Macaca mulatta: one gene and its partners. The protein of the gene in region 6 interacts with the protein of the main gene of each other region in a pairwise test. Links are inferred from orthologs where the notes say so. Each region holds a gene or a part of one and is shown on either strand. Other genes may lie near its edges. The genes, in order: HMG20B, PDLIM5, ASB7, RAB33A, LENG1, CCDC136 and CDK2AP1.

Region 1 (4,280 bases), on a different chromosome or scaffold from region 6:
TTAGTAGTGGGGGGGGGGGTTTCACCATGTTGGCCAGGCTGGTCTTGAACTCCTGACCTCAGATGATCCACCCACCTCGGCCTCCCAAAGTGCTGGGATTACAGGCGTGAGCCACCGCGCCTGACCCCTCCCACCTTTCTTGATCTTCTTCTCCTGGATCTTCTCCGTGCACATCTTATAGGCTTCCGACTGCTGGTAGGCCCGCAGCTCCTTCATGTACTGCTGCTTCTCTCTCTCGGCCTCATCCAGGTACCGCTGGGGGACAGCACCAAAAGACCTGAGGCAGGGGAAGCCTCTAACGCCAGGACCCAGTCTTCATCACTCAGCTTTCACAGCACCCTCCCCTCTCCTGAACCTTCCATAGTTCCCTATTCCCTCCAGACAGACAGAACCGGCTCCTCAGCCTGTTGCTCAAGGACCTCTGAGCTCCCACATCACTTCCCATGCCCCAGGCTCATCCCCAACTCCCGCCCTGACAAGACACTCCTGGGCGCCAGAGTCATGGGCAGGCACCCAACCTCCAGGGTATGTGGATATCTAGACTCCCTCCTGCACCCGTTTTTCTCTTTGAAATTTCACTTACAGGGGTGCAAAGCGGCGGTGGCTTTTGTTACATTTCCGTGATGTTTTTGCAATTTTTAAACTAACAGTATATGAAAATCAGATTTCACAAAAAATCCAGGCCTTATCCTGACTTCTTAGACATATCTTTGTTGGTCACCCAGTTTTCGATCTGTCTTGCCTCTTGCTAGCCGCGCCCCCAAAAGCTGGTCATGGGCTGGCCATGGTGGCTAATGCCTGTAATATCAGTACTTTGGGAGACTGAGGTGGGCAGATCATTTGAGGTCAAGAGTTCAAGACCAGCCTGGCCAACATGGCGAAACTCCATTTCTACTAAAAATACAAAAGTTAGCAGGGCGTGGTGGCTGGCGCCTGTAATCCCAGCTACTTGGGAGGCTGAGACAGGAGAACTGCTTGAACCCGGGAGGTGGAGGTTGCAGTGAGCCGAGATCGCGACACTGCACTCCAGCCTGGGCAACAGAGCAAGACTCCATCTCACACACACACACACACACACACACACACAAAAACTGGTCATGGGTGGGCATTTCACCAGGCATAAGGAAAAGCCCTGCACGTGGAATCCTTTGGGGGTCGGGGCTACTGGTAGTACGGGGGTCCGCCGGCCCTGCTCAGCGCCCCGCTCACCTGCTTCTCCGTTGGCTGCAGCTTGCTCCACTCGGCGCCCAACATCTTGGTGATCTCGGGAAAGGGCAGATCCGGGTGGCGCGTGCGGATCTGCTCGCGCCGCTCGTTCAGGAAGCGCACGTAGCCTGTGACCGGTGCCTTGGGCCCATTCGGCAGAATCTTCTTCCGCTTCTTGCCCTTGGGCCAGCCGCGTTTCTTCACCGGCTGCAGAACCGGGCTGCGTCGTTGGGAGGGGGGCCTGGCGTACTGGGGCGGGGCTCAGAGGGGCATGGGCGGGGCCTAATGCTGTATGGGCGGGGACGGGGCGGGGCCTAGTTGGGAGGAAGAACCCGGAAGAGATGGAGGTAGGGCCCAGTCAGGAGTCAGGACACGGTGGTTTAGAGGGGTCCCTGGCCAGGGATGAGGGGATCCCAGAGACTATGGGCCGAGGTTTGAGCACAGGGGTGGTGTTTACTTAGATTGTAGGCGTGGCCTCTGCTTGGTGGGCGTGGCTTCTTGGAGAAAGGGCCCACAGGACCATGGGGAGGGTGCCGCCCCCAAGGAGTGGAAGTGGGCGGGACCTTAGAGTGGGCAGAGCTGGCATTGTGTGGTGGGCGGGGCCTGGACTTAGGGAGGCAGAGGACCTGTCAGGGGCGTGGCAGCTCGCACGGGGCGGGGTCTCAGCTTCCGGAGGAAAATCTGGGCTGTGGGCGGAGCCACAAGCAATTCAAATCCAGCCTGGGGCGGGACTTCAAGGCTGGGGCCGCAGCCCGGGGCCTCCCCCAGCTCAGCGCAGGGACTCTCACCTCCTCCTCGTGGGACCCCTTCTCGCCGGCGCGTGGACCCTCGCCGCGCTCTTGCTTGACAGCCACCACGAAGCCCCCATGCTGGCCCGGAGCCTTGCCGCCCGCCGGCCTGGAGCCAAGGATACAGAGGTCAGCCCCGTCCCTAGAGCCTCCCCTCCCCCAAACGCCTACCCCAAGGCTTTTAGACGCCCGACGATGGGGCTGCTGCGAGAGTGCATGAGCCCGAGGAAGCAGGGTCTGATGGGGTCAGTATCCGCGGAAGGTGGGACAAGCGGGGCTCCTGGGAGGGGCTGGAGGCCGAGGTGGGGTATGCAGGATTGGATGGAGGGAGAAGCCCCCTGACCCAGGTTGGGGGCGGTCGAGACCCCGGCCGGGGTGACTGGAGCGGGGGTTCAGGAGCTAGGGCTGCAGCCGGGAAGGTAGCGAGGGCGTGGGGAGGGAATCGGAGCACTCACGCGGCGGCCGTGCCGGGCTGCTTGGGGCCGTGGGACATGGCTGCTCCGGGCCGGACCTGGAACACGGACGCGGGCGGAGTTGAGTAGCGCCTGGGCTGATTGATGGCGGACCGCGAACTGGGGTATCCCGTGATGGAGAGCCCCGGGATGCCGGGCCCGGAGCGCTGGGGGGGCCGGATCCGGGGGCGGGGAAGTCCTCGAGGGCGGGCGCCCCAAGAATCCTTTGTTGGGCGATTGCCCCCCGGGAGGCCTGGGCCGGTTCCCCCCGGCCCAGGAAAGACCCCGACCCGGCCCTGGGACCCCCGCACCCCCGCCCCCTCGCAAGGCCCGGAGTTCCGCGGCTGTTTTCACCTCCAAAGAAACTTTCCCGGACCTCCCGACTGCGCGACGCTCCAACCAACCGCCCGCAGCCCACCCCCGCCGACTGCCCCGCCCCTCCCCGCCCCCGGCATGCTAATGAGGCCTCGGCGAACGGTCCCATTGGGTGAGGCCTTCCCCCGGGGCGTGCCCATGCAGATACCGATCGGCGCGCCGGCCGGCGATTGGCTGGGGAGGCTGCTGAGCCGCGTGGGAGGTTAGTAAGGAAGGCGGCGGGCGGTGCGTCAAGTTCGGCTGCGCTCGGCCGCGCTCGGGACCAATCGGGAGCGCGTGGCGGACTTGCCGGGCGGAGCCTCTTAAAGGGCCAGTAGGTGAGGCGCCGACTCCTCCTCCCGCTCTGAGGGCGATACTCCCAGCAGCTGCCGGATGGCGCGACCCGCGGATCCGGGTCGGGCCACGCCCCGGTTGCCATGGGGACGGAGGTGCTAGGGTTAAGTTCCTGTGAGGCAGCCCCCAGCCCTAGGACAAGGTGGGACCTGTTCTTAACATCCTGCAAAACCCATCGGAGACGTTTCCTATTTATTTATTCAGAACCCCCGACATCCGGATCCGAGGGCTTCTGGCCACAGGGGCGGCTTTCCCAGTGGGATCTGGGCTTTCCCTCCTGTGCAATGGGGACATCGCACGATGTCCAGGGCATAGAGGCTGGGATGCTGCGAAGCTGAGAACGGGGTGTGGGTCAGTCAGGGGGTGGGGTTGGGAGCTGGGCTGGAAGTATTTGGGGAAAGATGGTGGTAAAGGGAGGTTGCAAGGACCTGGTGAAGTTGGGTCAGGATGCTCCGCTCTGGGGGATCAGACCCAAGTTGGGGGCTGCTCACTTCCTCTTTTTTTTTTTTTTTTTTTGAGACGGAGTCTTGCTCCGTCGCCCAGGCTGGAGTGCAGTGGCTCGATCTCGGCACACTGCAACCTCTGCCTCCCGGGTTCAAGCAATTCTCTGCCTCAACCTCCCGAGTAGCTGGGATTACACACGCCTGCCACTACGCCTGGCTAATTTTTGTATTTTTAGTAGAGACAGGGTTTCACCATCTTGGCCAGGCTGGTCTTAAACTCCTGACCTCGTGATCCACCTGCCTCGGCCTCCCAAAGTGCTGGGATTACAGGTGTGAGCCACCGCGCCCAGCCCCCTTCCTCTTCCTCAAGTCCGCTCAAATGTCACCTGCTCAGCCAGGACCTCGCCTCTGATTTTTTTTTTTTTTTTCTCCGTAAGTCGGTTTCCTCTCTGTGGCCTGCCTGTTTGGTTCACAGCAGTGACCGTGGTGGGTGTTCAATACACATTCATTGAATTGTTCAAATGTCTAGGAGGCAGATGCAGTCAGCTGCTTTGGAAAACAGACTGGCATTTCCTCAAAGGGTTAAATAAATGTGGAATCACCATGCAATTCAGCAGTTCACTCCTAGGAATATACTCCAGACAACTGAAAACAGGTGTTCAAACAAAAGCGTGTACACAAGT
Region 2 (3,569 bases), on a different chromosome or scaffold from region 6:
TTCCCACATTTGTTTAACTATTACAACAAATAAAGCTCAGATACAGATTAAGAACACTTGGGAATTTTAAGTCTATTTTCAAAAGAAAAACTCTGCTTGAAGAATACTTTTGAGAGTAACTTATTCTAATTACATGTTTACATTTTAAAGAAGACAACTGTACATCACAGGTTTAATTATCGATGTTTAAGTTAAACAGTTTTTGGCTAAAGTCTTACCAAAAAATGGTATACTAATATACAGATTCTGAAATGGCAGGAAAGGAGTATTTCTGGAAAGGCCTTAGTTACGAGCAATTGTTTATTTTATAGAATTCCTCTGTCAGGACTCCTTTAAAGGACCTGGACATGTAGAGAGAGTAACGAGTGTCCTTCCTTCCAGAATTCCATATTTAGAAGAAAATTTTTAATATTTTCCTAAGCAAAATTCTTTAACTTAGAGTTTGTAAACCAAAATTTAAAATATGATGTACTAACATATATTATAATGGAAATATATTTTAATGGAAAAATATATTTTAATGGAAAAAATAAATTTGGTATTATACTATATTTACACTTTTAAAGATTACTATCACACAAAAGTAAAAATCAAGATAAAATGTCTCTGACACATTTTATGATTACTCTCATACAAGATAAAATGTATCTGGTCTTTTGGGTACCCCTCTCACTAAGTTAGCAAGGGTCTCCTCAGGAAACCCCAGAATGCCAACTAGACTATCTTTTTAGAAACCATTTCCCTCTCTCAATATCAAACTATATTTTGTCTGTGTCCTACTGTTAATAAGCAATGGTGATGACTACTAATACTTGCTCTAGAGGTGGGGCCACAGATAGCACAGTCAGTCCATAAATGCATGCACACTTTTGCATGTATATGCACACAGGTACTTTTCTGGAGAGAGGATCTATAGCTTTTACCAGGTTCTAAAAATGTGGTATAAGTGTACTCAAGTACTCAAAGCGTACTCTAAGCAACGTCAGTAACCTGCCTCTGTACAATCTCAGCCCTGACAATGAAAGACTTCTGCTCCCTGAACACTTACAATTCTGCAAATATATAATTTCAGGTGCTGTCTTAGAGAAAAATGTACTATCATCTTTCTCCCTTGTTTAAACACCTCCCTTAAAAGTTACCCAGAATAAACATATGTATATTTTGTTGTTGTTTTGAGACAGAGTCTTGCCCTGTCGCCCAGGCTGGAGTGCAATGGCACGATTTCGGTTCACTGCAACCTCTGCCTCCTGCGTTCAAGTGATTCTCCTGCCTCAGTCTCCGAGTAGCTGGGATTACAGGCACCCACCTCCACACCCAGCTAATTTTTTGTATCTTTAGTAGAGACAGGGTTTCACCATGTTGGCCAGGCTGGTCTCGAACTCCTGACCTCGTGATCCGTCCGCCTCGGCCTCCCAAAGTGCTGGGATTACAGGTATGAGCCACTGCACCTGGCCCAGGTAAATATATTGAAAAATCTCTATAACAGTGGTTAGAATACAAACATCTAATCAATATCAGTTATATCAGTTATATAGCCTAGTTATATCAGGTTTTCACTAAGTATGTTGTATACTTTGCCACTGATTTTATGTTCTGTCAAAAATCATTGTATACAGTTATTTCACTGAGTTTATATCTTTAGTAAACACTTGTGATATTTTTATTTTTATATTATGCCTAAAAATTTCTGGCTTAATCCTTAAGCTTAATAGAAAAATCTATTTTGGTGTTTAGCATTTCCCAAATAGTGGAAATTAAGTTGCTTTTCCAAGCAAAACCTTCATATTTAAGAACTAGAATATGTAGTCAATCAAAATTGATCATTATTATTTTTCATTTTTCCAAAAGGTATGTCTTACTAAACATTTGAAGATTCTAATACAGCTATATCTATGCAATAAAAGACAGAAATTCTACTGCAATTTAAATACTTGTACAATTACGTGGAATTGCACACCAAACATCAAGTATGCTAAGGAAAGATGTCACAAAAGGTTAAAAGGTGAGTTAATAATCATAGGACATACTGTGCTTGTGCATTAGCATGGCATTGACATTACAGTTAATTCAAAATTGGGCGCAAATCCCTAGAGCTCTAGGATGTTGTCACCCGGCCTGTTAATACAGTGGTGATGTGTTAGAGAAAGCAGTATCCTTAACAGCAAACCACCACTTGCCATATCTGCTCCCACAGTACCTTGTTTTCTTAACATGGATAGAGCCAGTTGATTTCCTTGAGGACTGCAGATAGGAAAAAGCTAAAGGCTTGGAGACAGGACTGATGCAAAGTGCATCCAAGAGCGAGTGATATCTTTCAGGAGTGTAGAGCCTGGTAAGCATTTAGAAAGAGTTTTAAGTCAAAAATCGCACTACCAATAGACGACAGTAGTTTTTAAGGTCTGTGATTTGAAACATTTCCTTTATGAGAAAGAGGGTGGGGAGAGAGAGGAGGACGGAGGGGAAGCACAAAGCAGCAAAGGAGGATAAAAGAAGCACCAAGAGTTTATTCTATCGCTTTACTCATTAATATAACATTGATTAGATTTTCACCAAAATGGTCACAGCCATCATTTAGAAAGCATTTGAAGCTCTAAAGACTATAGAAATTATCTAAAACCCCCAAACCACGAAAATAAAACCAATTTATTTCTTTTTGGGAAAGGATGCAATTTTATTTTTTTAGGGGACAGTAGTCTTCAGATCACCCTTTAAAGGTCGTGGGAGAAGATAAAATCAATAGAAACTTAAAATACTCATTAATACTTTATTGTTTCAAATATAAAACCTGAAAATCGTAAAAATCCAAGTGCCAATAAGCACACAACATGTAATAATCCACGCAACTGAGAAATACCATCCATAAATAGCAGCAATGGAGAGATTAAAAGGTGATTTTTAAGAAATAAACAGTAACAAATACTGTGAGATTCATCCACAACCTAAAATATCCACTACACAATTAAGAGCTCACAATAGAGCTATGATTGCTTCAAACAGATATGTTTTCTTTGAGGTGAATTGTAAGACAATGAAGAGCGCTGAGATTGCATCAGACAGACGCTGCACGTGTAGTTCTACCTGGTTTTTGCAGCAATAACAGCAGACACAGTAGCAGCTGCACTGCTCAGAACTGCAGCACTGTATCTAGCAGGAGAAGAGAAGGTAGAAAAGTTTCGAAAACCTTCAAAAGAATCTTCCACATTTCCTGTGGAGCTGCTTAAACTGACAGGTAGGGAAAGAAAAACAGGAGAGGAACAAAAAGGAAAGTGAGAAAGGGTAGCATAATAAATACAAGAGAGTAACCATTCCATATTAATATCTAGGCATTATAAAAGTGTGAAGTGTCAGAAGTGTAATAGGAGTTCAGGTCATTTAGTTACTGCTGCTATGATTTCTCTCAGAAGATAAAAGCTGATGTATAATCCTCCATAAAGCTGATTTTGACATACAAATACTTTTGAATGTATTTAAGTTCACTAACTGTATTCCTATTTAAAATTACCTTGTATCACACATTTGAAGACTGACTTGCCAACAACTTAGCAGAAAATAAATCTAAACATGAAGTT
Region 3 (3,569 bases), on a different chromosome or scaffold from region 6:
TCCATGGATGGGCCCTGCTGTGCTCCTGCCATCCTGGAAGGGGGAGGTTCTGAGGTCTGAATGCTAGACAGCGGGCTGGCTGAAGGGAACAGCAACAGCAGCTCTTCCTGGCCTCTCCCCCTACTCAGCATCAACAAGTCACCAGCAGATGCTACTTTATTACCAAGCCACGAGTGCACTCTGTTTTGTTTTTGTTTTTGTTTGCACTATATATTAGAGTTTTTATGGCAATTTTTCCAAAAGGCCAGAGTAGTTTTTAAATTCCGGTATTATAATTTTTTTGGTCTCTTCCAATGTAAATAATCTTGTTTTTAGTCAAAACAGTGTGATGAAGAGTAAAATGTCCCTGAATGAAGACCACCATGTGGCCCCTCTGCTGTCCTTATGCCTCGGCAGTCTGCGATCTCCAATCATAAGCCAACAGCATGATGCCCGGGGCTGCAGTGCTTAGAGCACACGGGCTAGAAGAAGCTCTCAGCTTTGATTTAGTGCTCCCTAAACTAACCAACCTTCTTTCGAGCTGCTTTTCATAAGAAAGCTCAGTCCAGAGCATCAGCCACAGTTGCTCCTTCTGGCCCACATTGTTCACTAGGAAAAGAAAAGCTATTTAGACCCAAAGAACACACAGGTGAAGCAGAAACACCAATTTGCTTTTGGCAGGAAACATCACTGGAGAGTCAAGAAATACTAAATTATGTTGAGGCACCTGAAGACAAAGGACAACTGCAGCCTTAACAGACAGAGGGCCCTGCACTCAGGAAAGCAGTCTGTGCTTCCTCAGTCCCCACCCCTCGTTGTACAGAGTTAGCCAGACTGCCTGGACTTACTGAGGACCTCCTAGGTGCACAGCTCTGCTCCTCGTGCAGTGGAGAACCTAAGCACAGACAGAGGCAGTCCCCACTGATGTTTCTATCTGCTCAAATTTTAAAGTGCATGTGAGCCTTTAACTCAACATTCCTGCTGTGCAACAGCACTGCTGCGGGCAGCTCTAAGGGCTCAGGGACACAGGGCGGCTGCCCACATGCTTTTCCTGCCCAGCGGCTCCTTTCAGCCACCTGGCTGCGTGGCTCCACGTACAGACTCTAAACAGTTGTATATACGGTTGAAACTGGGAGGCTTGAGTTGAATATGAATCTAAAGATTTTGCTCTGTTGGTAGCAAGCCAGTCCTCGCTGTTAATCCACCCTCACTTTATTAGTTACACACTTTATCTTGAAAAACAATGACAAAGAACAGCGCCTGGAACGTGTTAAATGTTAAGTGCATTATAAATATTAACTCATTTAATTCTCATAACAAGCCTATATTATCTTAATTTGAAGGTGAGGACACTAAGGCACAGAGAGATTAGGTGATCTGCTCAAGGTCACAGCTAACATGTGATAGAGTTAGGGCTCAAACTCTTGCAGTCTAGCTCTAGTCTATGCCATTAACCGCTGAACAAAGTATTTTAAAAAAAGGGGGCTGAGGCATTTAGGTGAGTATATAACACGCCTTCCTAAGGGGAGCCACACTCATGATAACTAAGTCTCTAATATAGAAGTTAAAAGAACAACAACAACAAGGCAACCAGGAACTGCAGCACTGCAGATATCACATCTCCCGTCTTTGGCTACTTGTGTGTGTCTCAGAAGCTTTCTGCAATGGAACGCCCACCAGTCAGCCCCAAATACCCCTCCCAAGGCAGGCAGATCTGTGTGGACCAACAAAGGAGTCACCAGGCACTTGTGGCCATTTAAACTTAAATCGCAATTAAATAAAATTTCAATTCCTCAGTGGCAATGGTCACATTAATAGGTGCTCAACAGCCACATGGGACCAGTGGCTACTATACTGGACAGTAATGAGAGACCATTTCCAACATTACAGAAACTGGTACTAGCCAGCACTGAGTAGACAAAGTAGTGTGATTTCTTCTTATGCTTTAGTCTGAATACATTAGTGATAATAATTTCATCTTTTCTTCCATGAATCTGCGAAATTCAAGTTACATTTTGTTTCTTCATAAAGCAAGTTTGTACTCCAAAGGTCGGTTCTAAGGGGTAGAGTGGGTTATTTACAAGCAAGTCAAGTAAAGCCTTTGTCCTCTAGAAGCTGGTACCCAGGATATTAATATGTCTTCTTCTATCATCATGATCAAAGGTTCAAAACCAGTGAGGAAAAAGGAATTCATTAAAAAGTTCAGCAGACAGCAAAATCAATTTTGTTTACAGATTTCAGCTTCATGTTGGACATTAAGCATGAGACACACAATCAACTGGTCACGTGGAAGCTTGACAAGAGAGGATGGCTAAGTCCACACAAACTGATACCCCATCACAGAAACAACTAGGATGCATGTATTACTACAGAAAGTGGGTCAGACACTTCAAGGCTTTAAAAAAAGCACCCACACAAAAATTGTTCAAATACAATGGAAGCCATGTGGTCCAGGGACAGTGGTGCCAAACTTCCCACTGCTAGCAAATATTTTCTTACAACAATTTCTAGCATCCTTAACTTCCACTAGCAGTATCCCTAAATAAACAGTACCACTGTTCCATTTCATGTGGGTTCTCATGAAGCAGAAAAGCCACAACTAAAACGTGAACAACTTAGCAATAAAGCACAAATTCTAGGATATTTTCACAGCTAAGGAATCTAAAATCCAAAATTCTCCCTCTAACTCCTCAACTTGAAGTCCATGGAAGCCAGGTAAGATTATCCTTATGACCAACAGGAATTGCCTTGTTCTAACACAGATCTTTGTTTATTTAAAGAAATTCTCCTCTCTGTCCTTCTCTCCATTCCTTCCCTCACTCTTACTGTCTACCCCTATTACATTTAGAAACACAATTGAATTTTTATGAAATCTTGTGATTCAAAGTTATTTTTTTATTTCAGAAGAATGAGGCATCGCTTACCAAGCAGTGGTTATAGGAATGATTAATATCTAGTCATCTTAAGTTGCAAAAACACATTAAGCTCCTCAGAAGATGCAAATTTTTTTAAAATGCAATAAAGTAATAATTATATTACATACTTGTGACTTCTTGTAAGAAATCCAAACATGGTCGACTACTTCCAGAAATACTTATTGAAACAGCCAATGGGGTCTGTCCTTCATAGTTCCGTGTGTTCGTGTCTGCTCCATAATTATATAACATCCGTGCACAGAGCACATCATCCCTAAGGGCAGATAAGTGTAAAGGAGTCTGTCCGTCTTCTAAGCGACCCAAGTTTGTGTCTGCCCCTCTCTGAAGGAACATTCGGCAATAAGAGTGATTGCTTTTGATCACGGCGTATCGCAACAGGAAACCATTCTGAATGTCGATGTTGGCATTGTGGTCCAGGAGGATTTTCACACAGCTTGACCTCTCTCGGATAATGGCGAGCTGAAGCGGTGTGGTACCTTTATCACTGAGTGGGTCAACCTCAGCCTTGAACTCCAGGAGAAGCCGGACAAATGAGTCCCTGCCGTAGTGGGCAGCCACATGGAGGGGAGTCCAGCCGTCATTGCTTTTTGCATTAATGATGTCGCTCCTGTATTCAGATTCTAACATCAAGCGTGCAATACGGGCCCGGCCATG
Region 4 (4,018 bases), on a different chromosome or scaffold from region 6:
TGTCACACCGGACTTTTCTCTCTCTCCCAAAGGGCAAAGCCCTTGGCAGTCATCTCCAAGCATGGCTTTGGCATGTATTCCTTGAACAACTTCAGGCTAGCCAGAGTGTGAGGCCAAATCTTCTCCTATCTAGATCACGTGCTAGCTGCCAGGCCCTGCCATCTTCCCACAGACATGCTGGTCTCTCGCCTGCCAGCTCTGGTCCTGAGACTGCAGCAGCTTTACAAGAAGCAGGGTCACCATCTCCCCACTCTCACACGCTGCTCTGAGCTCCTTCAGAATCTGCCCTCAGAGGACTCCTCCATGAGCAGTGTCACAAGGCTTTGTCCTCTTGAAAATATCATCTTCCCAAAAAAAGCCTGTATTAAGCACTTATCTGCACGTGGTGTTGTGCTGAGTTCTGTTTCTAGTGAGTCACACTGTCACAGGCTCTGCCCTCTGGGAAAAAGTCTGGAATCTTTGCCAGAGACTGTAAAGTCCAGTTTGGCTAAGTACTGGGGTGTCAGAAGAGAAGGAATGGTTTAAAAATTCCTCCGAGACCACTGGGTGGTGACTCTTCCACTCGTGTTCATCTCCCATCCCTCACTTTCTAGCTTCCTCCTCCCTCCTTCTTTAGATTCCCAAACACTTCATTTTTTTCCATTTAAATTTCAGATGGGCTTATTTCCCACCTTTTAAATCCAGGGAACTCTTTGGCTTACTGTAACACTTGATTTTAAGCAAATGAGAGCATTAGGTTTTTGAGGGTTTAAGAGCCCATCCGTAAAGATATTTCTACTTTGGATTACAAAGGCATGTTTTAGAAATTCTAGAATCGTATAGCCTTACATTAAAGAAGCCAGACACACTAGAGGAAGTCTTAACCAAGCAAATGTCAACAGCCCCAGGAAAGGACAAAGACAAGATGCTGCCTTTGACTTTAAAAGGAAATGTAGCAATTCCCCTTCAAAATGCAAGGGGCAAAAAAGATCACAATTTCAAAATAATGTTCTATCTTCCTGACCCTGGGGCTCTCCCTTATCAGTACTGAGCTGTCCATCTTCCTGACATCTAGTGCGTTGGCCCAGTTTCTGAAGCCATTTTTAGAACATGTTCATTTTAATAATCAAGGAGTCAGAGTCTTGCACAGTTTCAAGTGTTTCATCAGTTACTCAGCCCTTCTCTCCACGTCACTCAGAGGAGGGGCCTTGTGGTCACTTTGGCCGTTTGACCAGCAAGAAGGAGGCTTACTGTTACCCCTGACTCTGTCTAGGATCCAACCATACGCTCAAGGAAAGGCCAGCTGTGAGCCTAGAGGAGTTGTCTTCAGTGATTCCATTGCCTTTATAGAGGCCCCCCTCTGCTCCCCTGACACAGGAAGTTGCCCTTGTTATGTCCTCCCTCCCTCCATGCCCTGCACATTGACATATTCGTGTCATATCAGGTTTCTACCTTTTCTGAATTAAAGGTGAGCACAAATGGTCAGACAAGAATATTTGCACTTAGCCTATTACATAAACTCATGGAGGGGGAGGATTGAGCATTTCCCTGGCCCTCGGTTAAGTCACTGCATTTTTACAAAGACCTTCTGAAGACAATACCAACAGAATGAATAAGGAGCAGTTCATGTATTAGATACCCCAGACAAGTAAAGAAAATACCATTCCAGGGGGCCTGTTACAATAAAAAACAAGTTTTGTTGATTACAAAGGGCTGGCTGGTGACCCTGCCTCAATTTCTTTAAAAGGGCTCATGGCTTTCTGCCAGAACCACCTCACTCCACCCCCATCTCAACTCAGCCCTAATCTTAACTATAAACTGCAATTTAAAATAAAGCAGCTTTTTCATTCTCCATGGATTTCCATCCTTTCCTTCCCTCTAATGACTTGAGGCTTAGCTGAAGTGGGGTTTTGCAGCCTATCGGCACCCAAGCGGTAGAAGAGACATCAGGATGTGTAAAGTGCTTTGGGATCCATCCCACAGACTAGGACCCAGAGATGCCTCCTGCCTCCCTCTGCCCACAGGTGCCGCTGCTCGGGCTAGGGGTCAAGGATGGGATCCAACATGCTTTTCCTGGCAGGACCTGTCAGGCAGGAGCAAAGGGTAAGAATGCAACCATTCTCGACCGCCCCAAAAAACTGAGTGATATGGGGACGGGACCCCGCTGAGAGAGGTGAAAAGGGGTGAGGAGGGGCCGAGGGTCCTCGGCTCAGCAAGAGGCGAAACCGCCACGCGCTGGGACGCTGGACGATGACAACCGCTACAGCTATGCCTCGGGCGAGGTCCCCTCCCAGGTCCCTCCCTTCCTGGACCTGACCCCCGGGATCACCTTGATCTTCTCGCCCTCGATTTCCACGGTCTTCTCCCTGAAGTCCACGCCGATGGTGGCTTCAGTCTTGTCTGGGAAGGTACCCCCGCAGAAGCGGAAGGTTAGGCAGGTCTTGCCCACGTTGGAGTCCCCAATCACGATGATTTTGAAGATGCGAATCTGCACGTACTGGTCCAGCGACGAGTCAAGCTCCAGGGACGCCAGGCCAGCGGCCGAGGCGGGCTCCAGGCTCCCATGGCCCAGGATGGGCTGCGCCATCTCCCCCGGACCGAACCGGGGCCCCAACCCCCCTCGAGGGCTCCACACAAAGAGAACGTCCACGTTCGTGCGCTCGAGGCGAGCGAGCTCTGTGCGCGTGTGTGTGCGCGCGTGTGTGTGTGTCCGCCCGTGTGTGCGTGCGCCGGCACCGTGTGCGCGCGCGCGTGAAGAGGGTGCCTCTCATTCCGGGCCCCCCTCCTCCTCCTCCAGCGCACCCTCCTTGCAGCTCGGAGGCACCAACACAAAAGCCAGGGAGAGGAGGAGAGAGGGAGGAGAGTGGACGAGCAGCGAGCCTTCTGCCTGTGTGCGCCCTCGGACCGGATGCTCTGGCGAAGGACCCTACGGCGCTGCTCCAGCCGCCGCCGCGCCTCGGCCCACACTCTCCCCTGCCTGCACCCCCGAGACCGACCGGAGGGAAGAAGCCTCAGGAGGAAAGGGAGGGGGTGGGGACAGCAGCACACGCCACCCCGGGATAGACTTCTTTCTCCTTGCCCCCATTTATGTTATAAGTTTCGGGCTCCCCACCCCCACTGGCTCGGAGCGCACGGGATCAGCGGGCAGGGAGCACAGCTGGGGAGGACAAAGAGCTGCACCCTAAGGCATCACTGGATCACTTCGGCCTCCCTGGAGCAACGCAACTCTGCAGGGATGGGGTGGGGGCTAAGGCACCTCTTTCACTTCGGGAGCAGCCGGCAGCTGAGCCGCGCCTTCCCGGTCCCCGCTACCCCGTCCCCTCTACCCCCACCCTCTACCCGACCCGCGCCTTGGGATAAAGGGATGTTCTGTCTTATTGAGTGAGCAGGTGCACTCACGGGCCCCAGGCAGCCTGAGCGGGCGCTGCCAAGACACGCAGTGGGTTGTCCCGGGCCTGCACAGTTGAGAGGAGGGAGCCAGCGGGCGCGCGTGTGCGTGTGTAGGGGGTGTTACTGTTTCTGTCACAGACTTGCCAGATGTAGGGGGGCGCGTACCAGGCGCCAACATCCCCTCATCACACCACGAGCACCCATCCTCTGAATGTTCAGGAGAGCGGCTCCTATTGGCTGCCGCAGTCGGTTGTGTTTGGCTGGCCAATGGGGAAGGCTCGCCGCGGGAGAGGGCCACACAGAGGCTAGGAGAAGGGGGGAAGCTAGTGGTGGCAGTTCCAGCAAAAGGGGACTTTGTTTATGGGGCTAGCCATTACTGGCCCAGGTGGAGGATCTTGGGACATGGCATAAGCTCCACAGTGCCTTCCACTCCCAAGCCCTCCATATAACCGTAAGTCCTTCCAGAAGGGTGGAGTTTCAGAGGGAGTTGGGAATCCCTAGGAGGGTTCACTCCCCCTGCAGCTGAATGTAGAACAAAGTGGTTGAGTCTAATTTGCCAGAAGCCTAGATTATGCTTGGAAGATGATAAATGAACACAATCTCCTTACAATATTAGGGGGCTGCTTCCCAAAGCTTACTAATCATCACA
Region 5 (4,313 bases), on a different chromosome or scaffold from region 6:
TCCACGGCGAATTTCTTTTTCCCCTTGGTTCTTCTCCTGGGTCTGGCCATCTCCAGCGTTCCCCTGCTTTACAGCATCTTCCTGTAAGTGCGAGAGGTTCCCGCCTCTCTCCCTCCCTCTCCCCCCATTCAGTGTTCAGACTCCTGGCTCTACTTGAACCCAGCCTGTCTTGACTTCAGGATCCCGCCTTCTAAGCCGTGTGGTCCATTCCGGGGGCAGTCGTCCATCTGGGCCCAGATCCCTGAGTCTATTTCCAGCCTCCCTGAGACCACCCAGAACTTCCTCTTCTTCCTGGGGACCCAGGCTTTTGCTGCGCCCCTTCTGCTGATCTCCAGGTGAGGTGGACCAGACTTCTGGGTCTGGGTTTGAATGCGTGTGATCTGGGGGCCACCACCTGCGTCCAAGAGAGGAAAGGCTTGGGGGTGGGAGCAGGCAATGTACTGAGTCTGAGGGAGGAGGCCTAGGCTCCTGGACTGCTGGGTCCGAAGGAGGAGGTGGGCGGGACTTAGGACTCCTGGATCTGAACGCGGAGGTGCTGGGAGACTGAACTCCTTGAGCCTGGACGAGGAGGGACTTAGGGGTCCACATCCCTGACTTCGAAGAGCGTGTCAGGAGTGGCTTCCGTTCCTGTCTCCTCCAGCATCCTGATGGCGTACACTGTGGCTCGGGCTAACTCCTACGGACGCCTCATCTCTGAGCTCAAACGTCAGAGGGAGACGGTGAGCCAGGCGGGTCCCTGAGAGGGCCCCCGGGGAACACGGAGAGGGGCTGGGGAAGAGGGCTGTCACACCTCCACCTCTCTTTGCCGCAGGAGGCGCAGAATAAAGTCTTCCTGGCACGGCGCGCTGTGGCGCTGACCTCCACCGAACCGGCTCTTTGACCCCCGCAGCTCACGCCCCACTTTCAGACCCCAGGCCCATTGTAAGCCTAGGTCACAACATCTGTAAACTAGGAGAACTGGAGAAGACTCCACGCCCTTCCAGCTTTGATATCTGGAGATTTCCAGGGCCCCTCGCCGCCACGTCCCTGACTCTCGGGTGATCTTTCTTGTATCAATAAATACAGCCGAGGTTGCTGAGCGCGCTTTGAAATCTGCGTCCTGAAGGTGGGGGCAGGGCTACCGCAGGGCAGGAGCCAATCAAATGTATGGGCATGTTTGTCGGTGCGGAGCGCACTTCCGCAAGGAGACTTGACGGTCATGTCGACCAATCGACGGCCGCATGTGGTAGCATCGGGGCGGGCCAACTTATGATTGGTTCAGATCTGTGATAAGAGGCGGTTGCTAGGGGATACCACGAGCCGAACGCCTAACATTCGCTGTGAAAAGGACGTCTCAGCCAATCACCTGTCGTTACAGGCCAGGGGGCCGTACCAACTAATTCGGAACCAATCTGCGGTCGAAGTAGGGACAAGAGGAAGGGGGGCATCCTCTCGCCAATCGGAAGTGCAAAGAGGCGGGCGTGCCAGTCCCTGGACAGCTACGACGCCATGAATATCTTGCCCAAGAAGAGCTGGCACGTCCGGAATAAGGACAATGTCGCCCGCGTGCGGCGTGACGAGGCCCAGGCCCGGGAGGAGGAGAAGGAGCGTGAGCGGAGGGCGCTGCTGGCTCAGCAAGAGGTAAGCTCGGAGGCCGGCCGGGCTGACCGCCGGAGCCCAGCGCGCACGCGCCGCGGTTGGGGGCCGGAAGCGGAGGCGTTGCGCAGGCTCAGTGTGCCCCGTGTGAAATTCGGGACCAGGCGCCGATCCCGTTTTCGAGGACGTTGCTCTGCAAACCTTGTGGCCACTTCCACGAAACCTCCCTTGATCTCGCCTTCGTCTTAGTTTCCCCCCACTGATGTATTTCACATGGCTGGAACAGTGTCTAGCACAAAAGAGCAGCTTAAAAACATTTAATGAATACATGAGCGCTTGGACAGTTCAAGGAAATTCGGATCACGTTTTAGTTTGCCTGCGCAGTTTATTTATTGAGCACCTATTGTATGCTAACTACATGCAGAGCGCCTGACTTGCGGAATCCCCAGGAGGCACTGTTCGTTCTTAGAGGGGCACTGTCATCTCCGTTGCACGGAGTGAGATGGCTTCAGTGAGGGGAAGGCACATTTAAGGAGAGGGGGACAGCCAGGCTCCACGCCATCGGGCGAGCCCTTTCCTGCACCGCCCCCTAGACACATACACACAAACACGGGCTTTCTGTATGGCTCCTTAAATCTGTTTGGTGTACACCCAACTTTCAGTTCCTTAGCTAGTCTGATCCTCCACAGTGGGTGGGAGGTAGTCTGGGTTTTTAGAATCTCAGTAGGCTGCTGAGCGCTGTTTGAAATCTGCGTCCCGAAGGCGGGGGACAGGGCTTCAGCAGTCGACTTGGGGTAGTGACTTGGAGCCATGGCTAGAATTCAGATCGTCTGGCCTAATGCAGTTTGGTCTACCTTTATGGCTGTTTTAATTGTCTCACTTGAGGTTAGGAACCCCTTTGGTTTAGGCCAGGGACCTCCTTCCAGCCATCCTTGATGACCCGTGGTTTACGATTTGAAAGGCAGTTTACAAAACCCAGGCGTTGCCTCATCTGCCTACCCTCACCCGCAGCTAGGACAGGTGCCTCTTTTAGGCGTCTAGTGCTCCCTTTCTTATAACCCCAGCACCCTGGACTGCCATTTTCTGTGGTGGGCACCAGACTCACAGTTCTTGAATCACCTCTAGGTTCTGAATGCCCTGCCTATAACTTTCTCCCCAGGCCCGTACAGAATTCCTACGAAAGAAAGCCAGACATCAGAACTCACTGCCTGAGCTTGAAGCAGCAGAGGCGGGAGCCCCAAGTTCTGGCCCTGTGGACCTGTTTCGGGAGCTGCTGGAGGAAGGGAAAGGAGTGATCAGAGGCAATAAAGAGTACGAGGAAGAAAAGCGACAGGAGAAAGTAAGCTGGCCTCACCCACTTCATTAGAGGAGCCATGAATCGAGTTGGGGGGAGAGGGCACTTTAGCCACTGCTTGTGATCAAGGTCAAACGAGAACGAACACACAGAATTTAGAACCATACCAAAGCATGACACTTAAGAAGTGTTGCCATCTGGGCACCCACAGGGCTTGGAGGTAGATGCTAGAGGTCCCCAGCTGCTAGGCAAACTGCTCAGTTCTCAAAACTGGAGGGGTCTGAAACCTTGATAGGCTTTTAAAAATGTAAATCAGCCAGCTGTGGCTCATGCCTGTAATCCCAGCACTTTGGGAGGCTGAGGCGGGTGGATCACCTGAGGTCAGGAGTTCAAGACCAGCCTGGTCAACATGGTATCTCTAAAAATACAAAAAAATAAGCCAAGTGTGGTGGTGCACGCCTGTAATCCAGCTACTTGGAGGCTGAAGCAGGAGAATCGCTTGACCTGGGAGGTGGAAGTTGCAGTGAGCTGAGATTGCGCCACTGCACTCCAGCCCAGGTGACAGAGCGAGACCCCATCTCAAAAAAAAAAAGAGAAAAAAAAAAAAAGGCGAATCATTCGCCTCTTGCCTTTTGGCTAAGATCAAGTGTAAAAAGTATGTCTGGTCGTGCATGGTGGCTCACACCTGTAATCCCAGCACATTGGGAGGCCAAGGTGGATGGATCACCTGAGGTCAGGAGTTCAAGACCAGCCTGGCCAAACATGGCAAAACCCCGTCTGTACTAAAAATACAAAAATTAGCCGGGCATGGTGGTGCGTGCCTGTAATCCCAGCTACTAGGGGGGCTGAGGCAGGAGGATTGCTTGAACCTGGGAGGCAGAGGTTGCAGTGAGCCGAGATGGTGCCACTACACTCGAGCCTGGGCAACAGAGCGAGACTGCATCTCAAAAAAAAACAGGTACATGAGCTCTTGTCACTCACCTGCTGTCTCTGGACTTGCTGACCCCACCCATGGCTCCTCTGCTTTGCTTGATCCCTTCAGGCTTCTCTTCAAGTCTCTCTGCAAAGATGCCTGCCTCTGAACACTCAAGTGGCTCCACTTGTCCCCTCCTTCCCCTGCTGTTACCTGCCACTGTCCCCCCACGGGGAACTTGGCCTCTGTTGGTGTCTTCCATCCCCAGCACCTGGTACAACTGGTTCATGACAAGCCTTAGGTACCTGTTTGCTTAGATTCCTATGTCAGGGAGACACACCTGACACCTTGAAAGATTATATCCCATCTCTTGTATTTCCTGGCCCCCTCAGGAGAGGCAAGAGAAAGCTCTGGGCATCCTGACGTACCTGGGCCAGAGTGCAGCGGAGGCACAGACTCAACCCCCTTGGTACCAGCTACCCCCAGAGCGAGGGGGGCCCCCTCCTGGCCCAGCCCCAGATGAGAAGATCA
Region 6 (3,569 bases):
CTGAGGTCAGGAGTTCGAGACCAGCCTGACCAACATGGTGAAACCTCGTCTCAACTAAAAATACAAAAATTAGCCAGGCGCGGTGGCATGTGCCTGTAGTCCCAGCTACTCGGGAGGCTGAGACAGGAAAATCGCTTGAAACCAGGAGGCAGAGGCTGCAGTGAGCTGAGATCGTGTCACTGCACGCCAGCCTGGGTGACAGAGTGAGACTCTGTTTCAACAACAACAACAACAACAAAGAATTTAACTACTTCAAAGTCACAGAATAAATCCTGAAAAAGCCTAGGTCCTTCTCTTGCCTAGTCAGCACTCTATATTCCATTGTCTACATACATGGAATCATGTGTAAAACCTTCAGGGGTTCAGACTGGGATCCAAAGGTATTGATCCTACTGAGCTGTGGCTCCGGCTCAAAGTCAAGGTCAGGGCAAACGGTTCTGTAGTTAGCAGCATGTGGCCCTGCCTCTGCTTCCTGCCTAGGAAGCCCATCAAGCCCTTCGATTGGGTGCCTTCATCTTTTGCCTCTGTACCTCCTCTCTCTGGAGCCAGTGCCCAGGAGCTGTCACCTCTCTGAACAACAATTACCTTGTTAGCACACTTTCCTTTGTCCTCCGGACTGGGCTGGGAGGCCTTGAGCTCTTTCAACTCCAGCTGGCAGAGCAGGAGGTCCTGCTCCAGCTGGTCATACATGTGCTTCTGCCGCTCCAGCTCGTCCTTGCTGGCCTGGTACAGCTGCTTCATCTCCTGAAGCTGAGCGTGCGTCTCTGTGTTCTGGGCAGGGGAGGCAGGCCTGGCCATCACCCCAGGCACTCCTGCTGCTGAACTCTCTCCTCCCAGGCAGGGACTAAGGGGACCCATCTTCCTTTGTCCTTCTCAGCCCCAATTTCATCCCAGCCTGGGATATATACCCAAGATGGACCCGTCCCTGACAGGCTTGAAACACAGACCTTCCCAGTGTAGCCTCTCCAGTTAAATAAATAAATAAATATAAAAATAATTTAAAAAGAAACACAGATCTTCTGGGGCTTCCTTTTTTGGGAGGTAGGGAGGGAAAGGGACTTCCTTTTTATATGCTGCTTTTCTGATTTAAAATCAAAGGAAGATGAGAGCCTTGTGACTCCCTGAGGTTACCTTTCTCCTAAGCACCTCTTTGGCCCCCTCACTGCCAGCTCCTCCACACTCCTACCATTCCCTCTCCTCCTCTGCACTCTCACCCCCACACAAGATGAGGCTACATCCTCCCTCACCAGGAGCTTCTTTTACCTTCTCACTGCTCTCTTTGAAGGAGGCCACCGTATCCCTGAGGTGCTGCAGCTCCGCCTCATGGCACTGCAGCTCCTCCTGCAGCTGCTGCTGCCGTTCCAGCAGCTTTTCCTTCTCACATGTGACGTTCTGGTGCTGGAGCTGCAGCTTCTGCAGCCGGCACAGTAACTCCTATGGTAGAGGGGGCTTTGGGCAGTGCCTCTGGGCTCCTTAACCCACTCACTCTTCTGTGTGAGTCACTTGAAGACACCGACAGTCTAAGATTTGCTTCTCCCTGCCCTTCACTTCCTAATGTCCTCATATCTAATGTAGTACTCGAGCAGGGCTGGAGTTCTTTACCTGTGGTGCTGTCTATGTGGTTGCTGGAATTATTTTTAACTCACTACTCTGATCCACCTTTCCCAAAACCTCAGAAGGATGCCCTTAGCACCTAAGTTGTCCCCTCACCTCTGGTTGCTGTTACCTTCTCACTCTGCTTTTCTACAAGTGTGGATTTCATGACTTTGAGCTGCCGGAGCTCAGCCTGAAGTTGCAGCTGCATCTTCAAGAGCTCGTTCTGCTCATCCTGGCTAGTATCATATTTTTTCTGCAGGGTACAGAGTCTGGACTTCAGCTCCTCATTCTGTGGTAGGGAGGATGTGAGTAGAACAGTTACTCTGGAGAAACAGCAGATCTTTTTACGGATCAGTTGGGTTCCTTTTCAGATGCAGACATCTTGAGGAGCTCCCACAGGTCTAGGGTTTGGTTTCTTCTGTGAGACAGACACTCAGTAATGACCACCATTTCTAGAATGCAGTGCTATATGACTTCTACAGTTGGTTTCCAGCAGACTGTGCCCAGTTGCAGGGCAAGAGTCAGCAGAGCACAGCCATACTCACTGTGCCCACCCTGGTTGAAGCAGCCCCTCCATGAGGCCCTTCTGCCCCCACCCCAGATGACTCCCTGGGCAGTCTTTACCTGAGTGACACTGTGGGAGGTCTGAAACCGAAGCACCTCATTCTGAGCACACTTGAGCTCCCTCTGCAGCCGCCTCTGCTCCTCCTCACTGACCTGGCGATGATGCTGTAGCTCTTCCAACTCACAACACAATTCCTGACACTATGCAGGAAATGGAACAGGGAGGCTTGTTTACTACAGATACCACATGTGCTCCAAGAACAAGCTTGGGGAAAGTATGGCATTCTTTGACTGGAAGATTTACATCAGGCAAGCAAGACCCCAGAATACTGTCTCCCGTCACAGTGCATGCCTGTGGAGATGTTTCTACTACAGGCTGGGAGAAGGTGAAAGAAAGACAAGAAACGTGCCTGCCCTCCCCACCCTCTGTGCCCTACCTTGTTCTTCATGCCATGCATCTGCTCTTCAGCATCCCGTAGCTGCTGCCGTAACAGCTGCATTTCAGGATCAGGCTCTAAGAAATCCATTTCCGAAGTCTGAGACTCTGCCGACGTCATACTTAGTGTTTGGGACTCCAGCCATCTCTCTGTTGCTCTCTGTGTCCTGCAATCCAGAACCCCAGAGCTGTGCTTGAAGGGAGTTCTGCCTGGCAACACCAGCCATGCATGCTTGGTCCTGATGCCTTCATTTTAGGCCAAAGATAGTAAGGGGCCTTCTATTGTGACTCACCGCTCAGATAAACATGCTTAGAAGACTATGGAAAGTCTCCAGCACCTCAATCTGCAAAGGTGTGTTTGACTCTGGGAGACCCTTAGAATGCCAGTCCAGTTAGTTTTCAGGCTAGGCCTAGTCAAGCCCACTCCAATCTGGAAGCATTGTGCCTGCCATTAGACTGAAACAAGTCTATGCGGACAATAAACGAATCTCTTCTGATCTACTTCAGGGCAGAGCAAACCAGAACCCAGTGCCTAGAGCAAAAGTAAACTTCAGAACTCACTCCCTCTAGTCTTGAGATAACTGGGTCGGATCCCCATGTCTGCTTGTAGATGGTATCTGTATTCTTTGGAAACCATGGAAAGGACTGGGTCTCCAGGAGCAGAGGAACGCTCACTGCCCTGGCATCTGCCTTCAGGGGAAAGCCCAAGGCAAGACAGAGTCCTGTGGAACCCCATGACCTCTCACTCTCCAGAGACAGCTGTACCTCTCACTCTCCAGATCTGCAAGCTGCCCAGTGAGGCTGCTGTTGCTCTCCTGCAGGGCCCGGTATTCCTCATTCAGGAAATGGTAGCGTTCCCGCAGCTCCTGCAGTTCTTCTGCAGAGGACAAGCAGAGAGAGATGAGACCAGGAGGAAAGGAAAGCACTGATGACCAGCCCCCAGTTTTCCTGTTTTGAAACATGAGAGCAGAAG
Region 7 (3,998 bases), on a different chromosome or scaffold from region 6:
ACACTGGCACTGGGGCCCAGCCAGGGAGAGCATCTTCCCGCTGGGACCTTCGACAGGGCAGCTCATCCCTTGGAGATGTGGGGTGCAGCTGACATGGTGGCTACCCCATTCCTGCTGTTCCCCAGCCTGGGCTGGGGGTACTAGGATCACCCTTGGGCTGATGAGGAGCCCAGGTCTTGGGCAGTTACCAAGTGGGGGTCACAGTCTGGAAAGTGGTGGAACCAGGCAGCGGCCTCGCCTGGGCCACACTCTCAAACACTGGCCCTCAACAAGAGGCACCTTGGCTCTCGAGACAAGGCCACCTCCTCTCTGCTGGGCCCACGCCCGTGGAGAGCAAGTGGGAACCGGCCGTTTTCTGTCCCAGCTTGGAGAGCCAGGGTCAAGGCCAGGCCTCACTTGCCCAGGAAAGAGAAGTGAGGAGACCCACCAGAGGAGCGCGTGGGGTGGGGGCCGCAGCGCAGCTCGGGCTGCTGCCCCTTCCTGGTGCTCTCCTGTCCGCTCCACCTCACACGTCCCTGCGAAACACAGTCCCCAGTGCCCTCCATTCTGATGTGTTCTGAGCCGGAGCCCAGTCAGGGCCTTGGGCTGAGAAAGCTCTGTCCCATACTTTCTGCTCCTTCGTCTCTTCCACCAGCTTCTCTCCTCTGATGGTGGGGAGCATGTCTCCCCCCAGCCCTCCCACCATGCCATCACCCCCATTGCCATACCTGGGTGTAGCCTAGGGATGGTGGCCCGTAGTCACTGAGCAGCTGGCGGTACTGTGAAGACGCCATGCTGGTGGAAGGAGAGTGGACACTCCCAGCTGTGGGGTGGGGAGAGAGAGGCCAGGAGTCAGCTCAGCCAGTTGTACCAAGGCAAGGACTCCAGGTCCTGCAATGGCCCTTGCCCAGGACCCACACCACCAACTGTAGCAGGATAGAGAACCCTGCTCTCCACCTCTAGTCTGACCAGTGTAGAAGACGGATAATGAAATGTAGCTACAAGGCACTCGGCCATCCCCAGCTCTGTAGCAGCTGCTGGTCCTCACAGAGCTCCGTCCTGTCCAACCAGAACCTTCCAAGCAGCAGGGCTGCTCCCAAAGATAAAATTACTGCCACTCCTGGCCTCATCCCTGCCCATCCCCTCTCCCTGTGTCCTGGCCCCAGAGGATGAAAACCTAGAGGCCACATCATACCACAAGAGCCCACTGCCATGGAGGCTGGTCCAAACCAGCGGAGCTTCCAAGCCTTTTTGTCCTATGCACCGAAATCTCTGCTGTGCTCAATGACGGGGAAGATGGGAAGGCCTTAGAGTATTTGAGACCCAACCCTGGCTGGAGACAGGCATGCTGGACATCAAATTAGGAATCTAGAGAACACCACGGCCTCTGTGTGCCCCAGATAAAGCCCCTCAACCTCTCTGTGCCTGTCTCCCCCTCCCCAAAGGGGGACCAGACTCTTGGCAGTCTATGTCCCAACGGCTCTGCATTCCAAGAGAGGAGGGTTGAGGCCCCACATATGGGATGCAACATTGGGGCCTGTCCAGGGCTGCAGTCAGTGACCAAGCAGGGCCCAGCCCAGAACGCAGCCTCCTGGATCTGGGAGGGGAGTCTGAGGCTGGGAGCACGCGGCCCCGCAATGGCGTCCCAGTGGCCATTAGCGGGTAAAGGATATCCTGCAGAATGACAAACAGCGGTAACCATGGAGAATTTACCTAGTCCTCCTCGGCAGCTGCCCGCCTGCCGCCCCCAGAGCCACACGGTCTCTCTCTCACACACACAGCGGGCGCTGCAGACTTGGCCTCGGGGATGGACAGCTGGTGCCAGGCTGGCCAAACCCACCAGCTGCTCACTTGGTGTGGGTGAGGGGAGGGGCAGAGGAGGAAGGAAGTTCAGGGCCTCAGGCTGGGGGAGCCGGGAGGAGCCCTGGAGAACCCTGGCTCCAGGCCCCTCTATTTAGAGACATGGACCTGAGGGAGTTGCCCCAGGGCACACAGCATAGCACCTGCCCCTCCATGCAGGGAGCCAGCTACCTCAGCACCTGCCCCTCTGTCCAGGAGCATCCGGGAGCGGGGACAGTCCCGAGTTGTCTCCCTGAGTCTCAGGCCAGCCCTGGATGCCACCACTGCAGCCCAGGGTTATGCTCCAGCTTGGGCTGGACCTGGAAACGTGGACTTGGATCCTGAACTGGGCAAAGCACCATGCCACTCCGAGCCTCAGTTTCCATGCCTCCCACATGGGGATGACGAGACACGTGTGCTACAGGGATGGGCGGCTTGGGATGGGGAAGCACTACGCCCGCGATATCCGGCACGTCCACGGCCACTGCAGGAATTGGGCAGGGCGATGTCCCCCAGCGCCCCCTCACCACATCAGCCAAACCCCAGTTTCCTGAGCTTCTGATGTGGCAGCAAGCGTGGCATGGGGAACACAGGCTCTGCTGGCAGAGACCTGGGTTTCGATCCTGGTAGCTACACCTCTCTGGCCTCGAGGGCCAGTCTCTGGGAGGGACCATAGAGCACAGCACCCTGGGTGTTTGCAAGATCCCAGCAGCCTGGCAGGAGGGGCGCTAGCCACTTCCCACGCACCCTCGAATCAACTCGGTGTGCCCCCGTCCTCTTCCCCAACTGCTTTGCCCACTGCTCCTCACCTCTCCTTTTCTGTCCTCCCCACTGGACTTGGCGCCAGCCCCAGCTGTGCCACTCCTGGCTGTGTGACCTCAGACAGGCCCCCCGCCCTCCAGTCCTCAGTTTCTCCATTTGTTAGAGGCAGTGCTTCCCAAGAGAAGGTCTACAGGCTCCAGACCCTACTATTTGATGATACTGGGGTTAGGTTTTGCGGGGCTGAGAGGAAGGAGGAATGAGAAATTGTCCCATTTTGGCTGGGGGGACAAGGAGCAATAGCTCGGTGACTCCAATGCTCTGTCCAGGCCAGTCCCTTGTTCAGGGTTGAGTGGGGGGTGTCTAGTCCTGGAGAGAGATGGCGGAAATGCCCCGAGTTCCACTCATGGTCACTCCTTCCTGCAGACACAGGGACCGGGACACAGGGACCACGTCAGCGCAGGCCGTCTCGGCGCATCTCAGACAATGAGCGCAGTGTGCAGGAGCGAGGGGTTGGCAGAGGCCAGGAAGCTCCTGGGGCCAGGCGCGGCTCCCCGCCCCCACGCCAGACAAAGAGCGCCGGGGCCTGGGGAGCTGGCGGCCTTCCCGCCACTTGGGGCGCCTGGGGGGCTCTGGGGCGGGGGAGGCGGGGGCTTTGTCTAACTCCGCCACTGCCACCACCGGCCAGGCCGCGGCTTGGCAACCCGTGAGCAGGAGGCAGGGCTGCAGGGCGTGAGGGATGATGACAAGGAAGCCGGAGGAGCAGCGGCAGCAGCGGAGAGTCCATCTTGGATGCAAATGGCAGGAGGGGAGCTGGGGTTCTGCAAAAGGGTCCATGGGGGAGAGGGAGGGGCACCAAAAAGCCCAGATCTGGGGATCTCGGCACTCCTGAAATTCTCCACAGAAGAAAGAGAAGAAAAGCTGAATACAGGTGCAGCCAGCTCAGAACAGGACTTCAGGGGTCCCCGTGAGTGCCGCTATCCCTGTGACCCCAAACCCTGAAGGTCCCAGTTTAAGGCCCCGGCCCCAATGACACCAGGTCAAGCCTGAGCTGTCAGCCTTGCCCAGGCTGGCAACACCAGCCCCTGCCCTCCCCACAGGCCAGAGGAAGAACGCTGCTGGCAGTCCTACCTGGCAACAAAGCCCGTCTTTGTAAGGTCTGCGGACCCCAGAGGAGGTGAGAATGTTTGAGAAGAAAACAGTGGCTGTTTGCTCTTTGGGACTCCGAGCCCACAAGTGAGCAATTCAACTCTCCCTCAGCACCCTGACGATTAACCCTTTCCTGCCCCTACACCTCAGTGTCCAAGGTTTTTTTAAATATCGTTTTTATGGGTCCTACTTCGGATGTGGGAGGTTTATGAAGTCAACGTTTGCAAACAAGGCCCAAAACTCGAGCAGGAGAGCCAGCGTGGCACCGGTGA

Evidence for each region.
Region 1: the proteins of CCDC136 (region 6) and HMG20B interact in binary tests that used the Homo sapiens proteins (3 or more experiments, as listed by UniProt). The two-hybrid records come from large-scale screens. The link is inferred for Macaca mulatta from reciprocal best matches to the Homo sapiens genes CCDC136 and HMG20B.
Region 2: the proteins of CCDC136 (region 6) and PDLIM5 interact in binary tests that used the Homo sapiens proteins (3 or more experiments, as listed by UniProt). The two-hybrid records come from large-scale screens. The link is inferred for Macaca mulatta from reciprocal best matches to the Homo sapiens genes CCDC136 and PDLIM5.
Region 3: the proteins of CCDC136 (region 6) and ASB7 interact in binary tests that used the Homo sapiens proteins (3 or more experiments, as listed by UniProt). The two-hybrid records come from large-scale screens. The link is inferred for Macaca mulatta from reciprocal best matches to the Homo sapiens genes CCDC136 and ASB7.
Region 4: the proteins of CCDC136 (region 6) and RAB33A interact in binary tests that used the Homo sapiens proteins (3 or more experiments, as listed by UniProt). The two-hybrid records come from large-scale screens. The link is inferred for Macaca mulatta from reciprocal best matches to the Homo sapiens genes CCDC136 and RAB33A.
Region 5: the proteins of CCDC136 (region 6) and LENG1 interact in binary tests that used the Homo sapiens proteins (3 or more experiments, as listed by UniProt). The two-hybrid records come from large-scale screens. The link is inferred for Macaca mulatta from reciprocal best matches to the Homo sapiens genes CCDC136 and LENG1.
Region 7: the proteins of CCDC136 (region 6) and CDK2AP1 interact in binary tests that used the Homo sapiens proteins (3 or more experiments, as listed by UniProt). The two-hybrid records come from large-scale screens. The link is inferred for Macaca mulatta from reciprocal best matches to the Homo sapiens genes CCDC136 and CDK2AP1.

The regions. Positions count from the first base shown.
Region 1 is NC_133424.1:4,383,118-4,387,397, reverse strand, and holds the start of HMG20B (SWI/SNF-related matrix-associated actin-dependent regulator of chromatin subfamily E member 1-related), read right to left. Parts: upstream 2,848-4,280; 5' UTR 2,758-2,847; intron 2,506-2,757; 5' UTR 2,488-2,505; coding exon 2,450-2,487; intron 2,104-2,449; coding exon 1,995-2,103; intron 1,414-1,994; coding exon 1,210-1,413; intron 256-1,209; coding exon 135-255; intron 1-134. UniProt on the Homo sapiens protein: Required for correct progression through G2 phase of the cell cycle and entry into mitosis. Required for RCOR1/CoREST mediated repression of neuronal specific gene promoters.
Region 2 is NC_133410.1:103,948,667-103,952,235, reverse strand, and holds part of PDLIM5 (PDZ and LIM domain protein 5), read right to left. Parts: intron 3,223-3,569; coding exon 3,079-3,222; intron 2,330-3,078; coding exon 2,198-2,329; intron 1-2,197. UniProt on the Homo sapiens protein: May play an important role in the heart development by scaffolding PKC to the Z-disk region. May play a role in the regulation of cardiomyocyte expansion. Isoforms lacking the LIM domains may negatively modulate the scaffolding activity of isoform 1.
Region 3 is NC_133412.1:90,994,451-90,998,019, reverse strand, and holds part of ASB7 (ankyrin repeat and SOCS box protein 7), read right to left. Parts: coding exon 3,023-3,569; intron 1-3,022. UniProt on the Homo sapiens protein: Probable substrate-recognition component of a SCF-like ECS (Elongin-Cullin-SOCS-box protein) E3 ubiquitin-protein ligase complex which mediates the ubiquitination and subsequent proteasomal degradation of target proteins.
Region 4 is NC_133426.1:136,626,441-136,630,458, reverse strand, and holds the start of RAB33A (ras-related protein Rab-33A), read right to left. Parts: upstream 2,820-4,018; 5' UTR 2,567-2,819; coding exon 2,309-2,566; intron 1-2,308.
Region 5 is NC_133424.1:66,391,240-66,395,552, reverse strand, and holds the start of LENG1 (leukocyte receptor cluster member 1), read left to right. Parts: upstream 1-1,465; 5' UTR 1,466-1,488; coding exon 1,489-1,620; intron 1,621-2,734; coding exon 2,735-2,914; intron 2,915-4,174; coding exon 4,175-4,313. Other genes in the region: voltage-gated chloride channel TMC4, read left to right, coding at 1-83, 180-335, 641-719, 812-880.
Region 6 is NC_133408.1:168,439,697-168,443,265, reverse strand, and holds part of CCDC136 (coiled-coil domain-containing protein 136), read right to left. Parts: intron 3,474-3,569; coding exon 3,362-3,473; intron 2,764-3,361; coding exon 2,598-2,763; intron 2,362-2,597; coding exon 2,221-2,361; intron 1,886-2,220; coding exon 1,727-1,885; intron 1,435-1,726; coding exon 1,264-1,434; intron 772-1,263; coding exon 586-771; intron 1-585. UniProt on the Homo sapiens protein: May play a role in acrosome formation in spermatogenesis and in fertilization.
Region 7 is NC_133416.1:130,672,883-130,676,880, forward strand, and holds the start of CDK2AP1 (cyclin-dependent kinase 2-associated protein 1), read right to left. Parts: upstream 2,804-3,998; 5' UTR 2,737-2,803; coding exon 2,628-2,736; intron 1,847-2,627; exon of another isoform or gene 1,693-1,846; intron 803-1,692; coding exon 708-802; intron 1-707. UniProt on the Homo sapiens protein: Inhibitor of cyclin-dependent kinase CDK2. Also acts as a component of the histone deacetylase NuRD complex which participates in the remodeling of chromatin.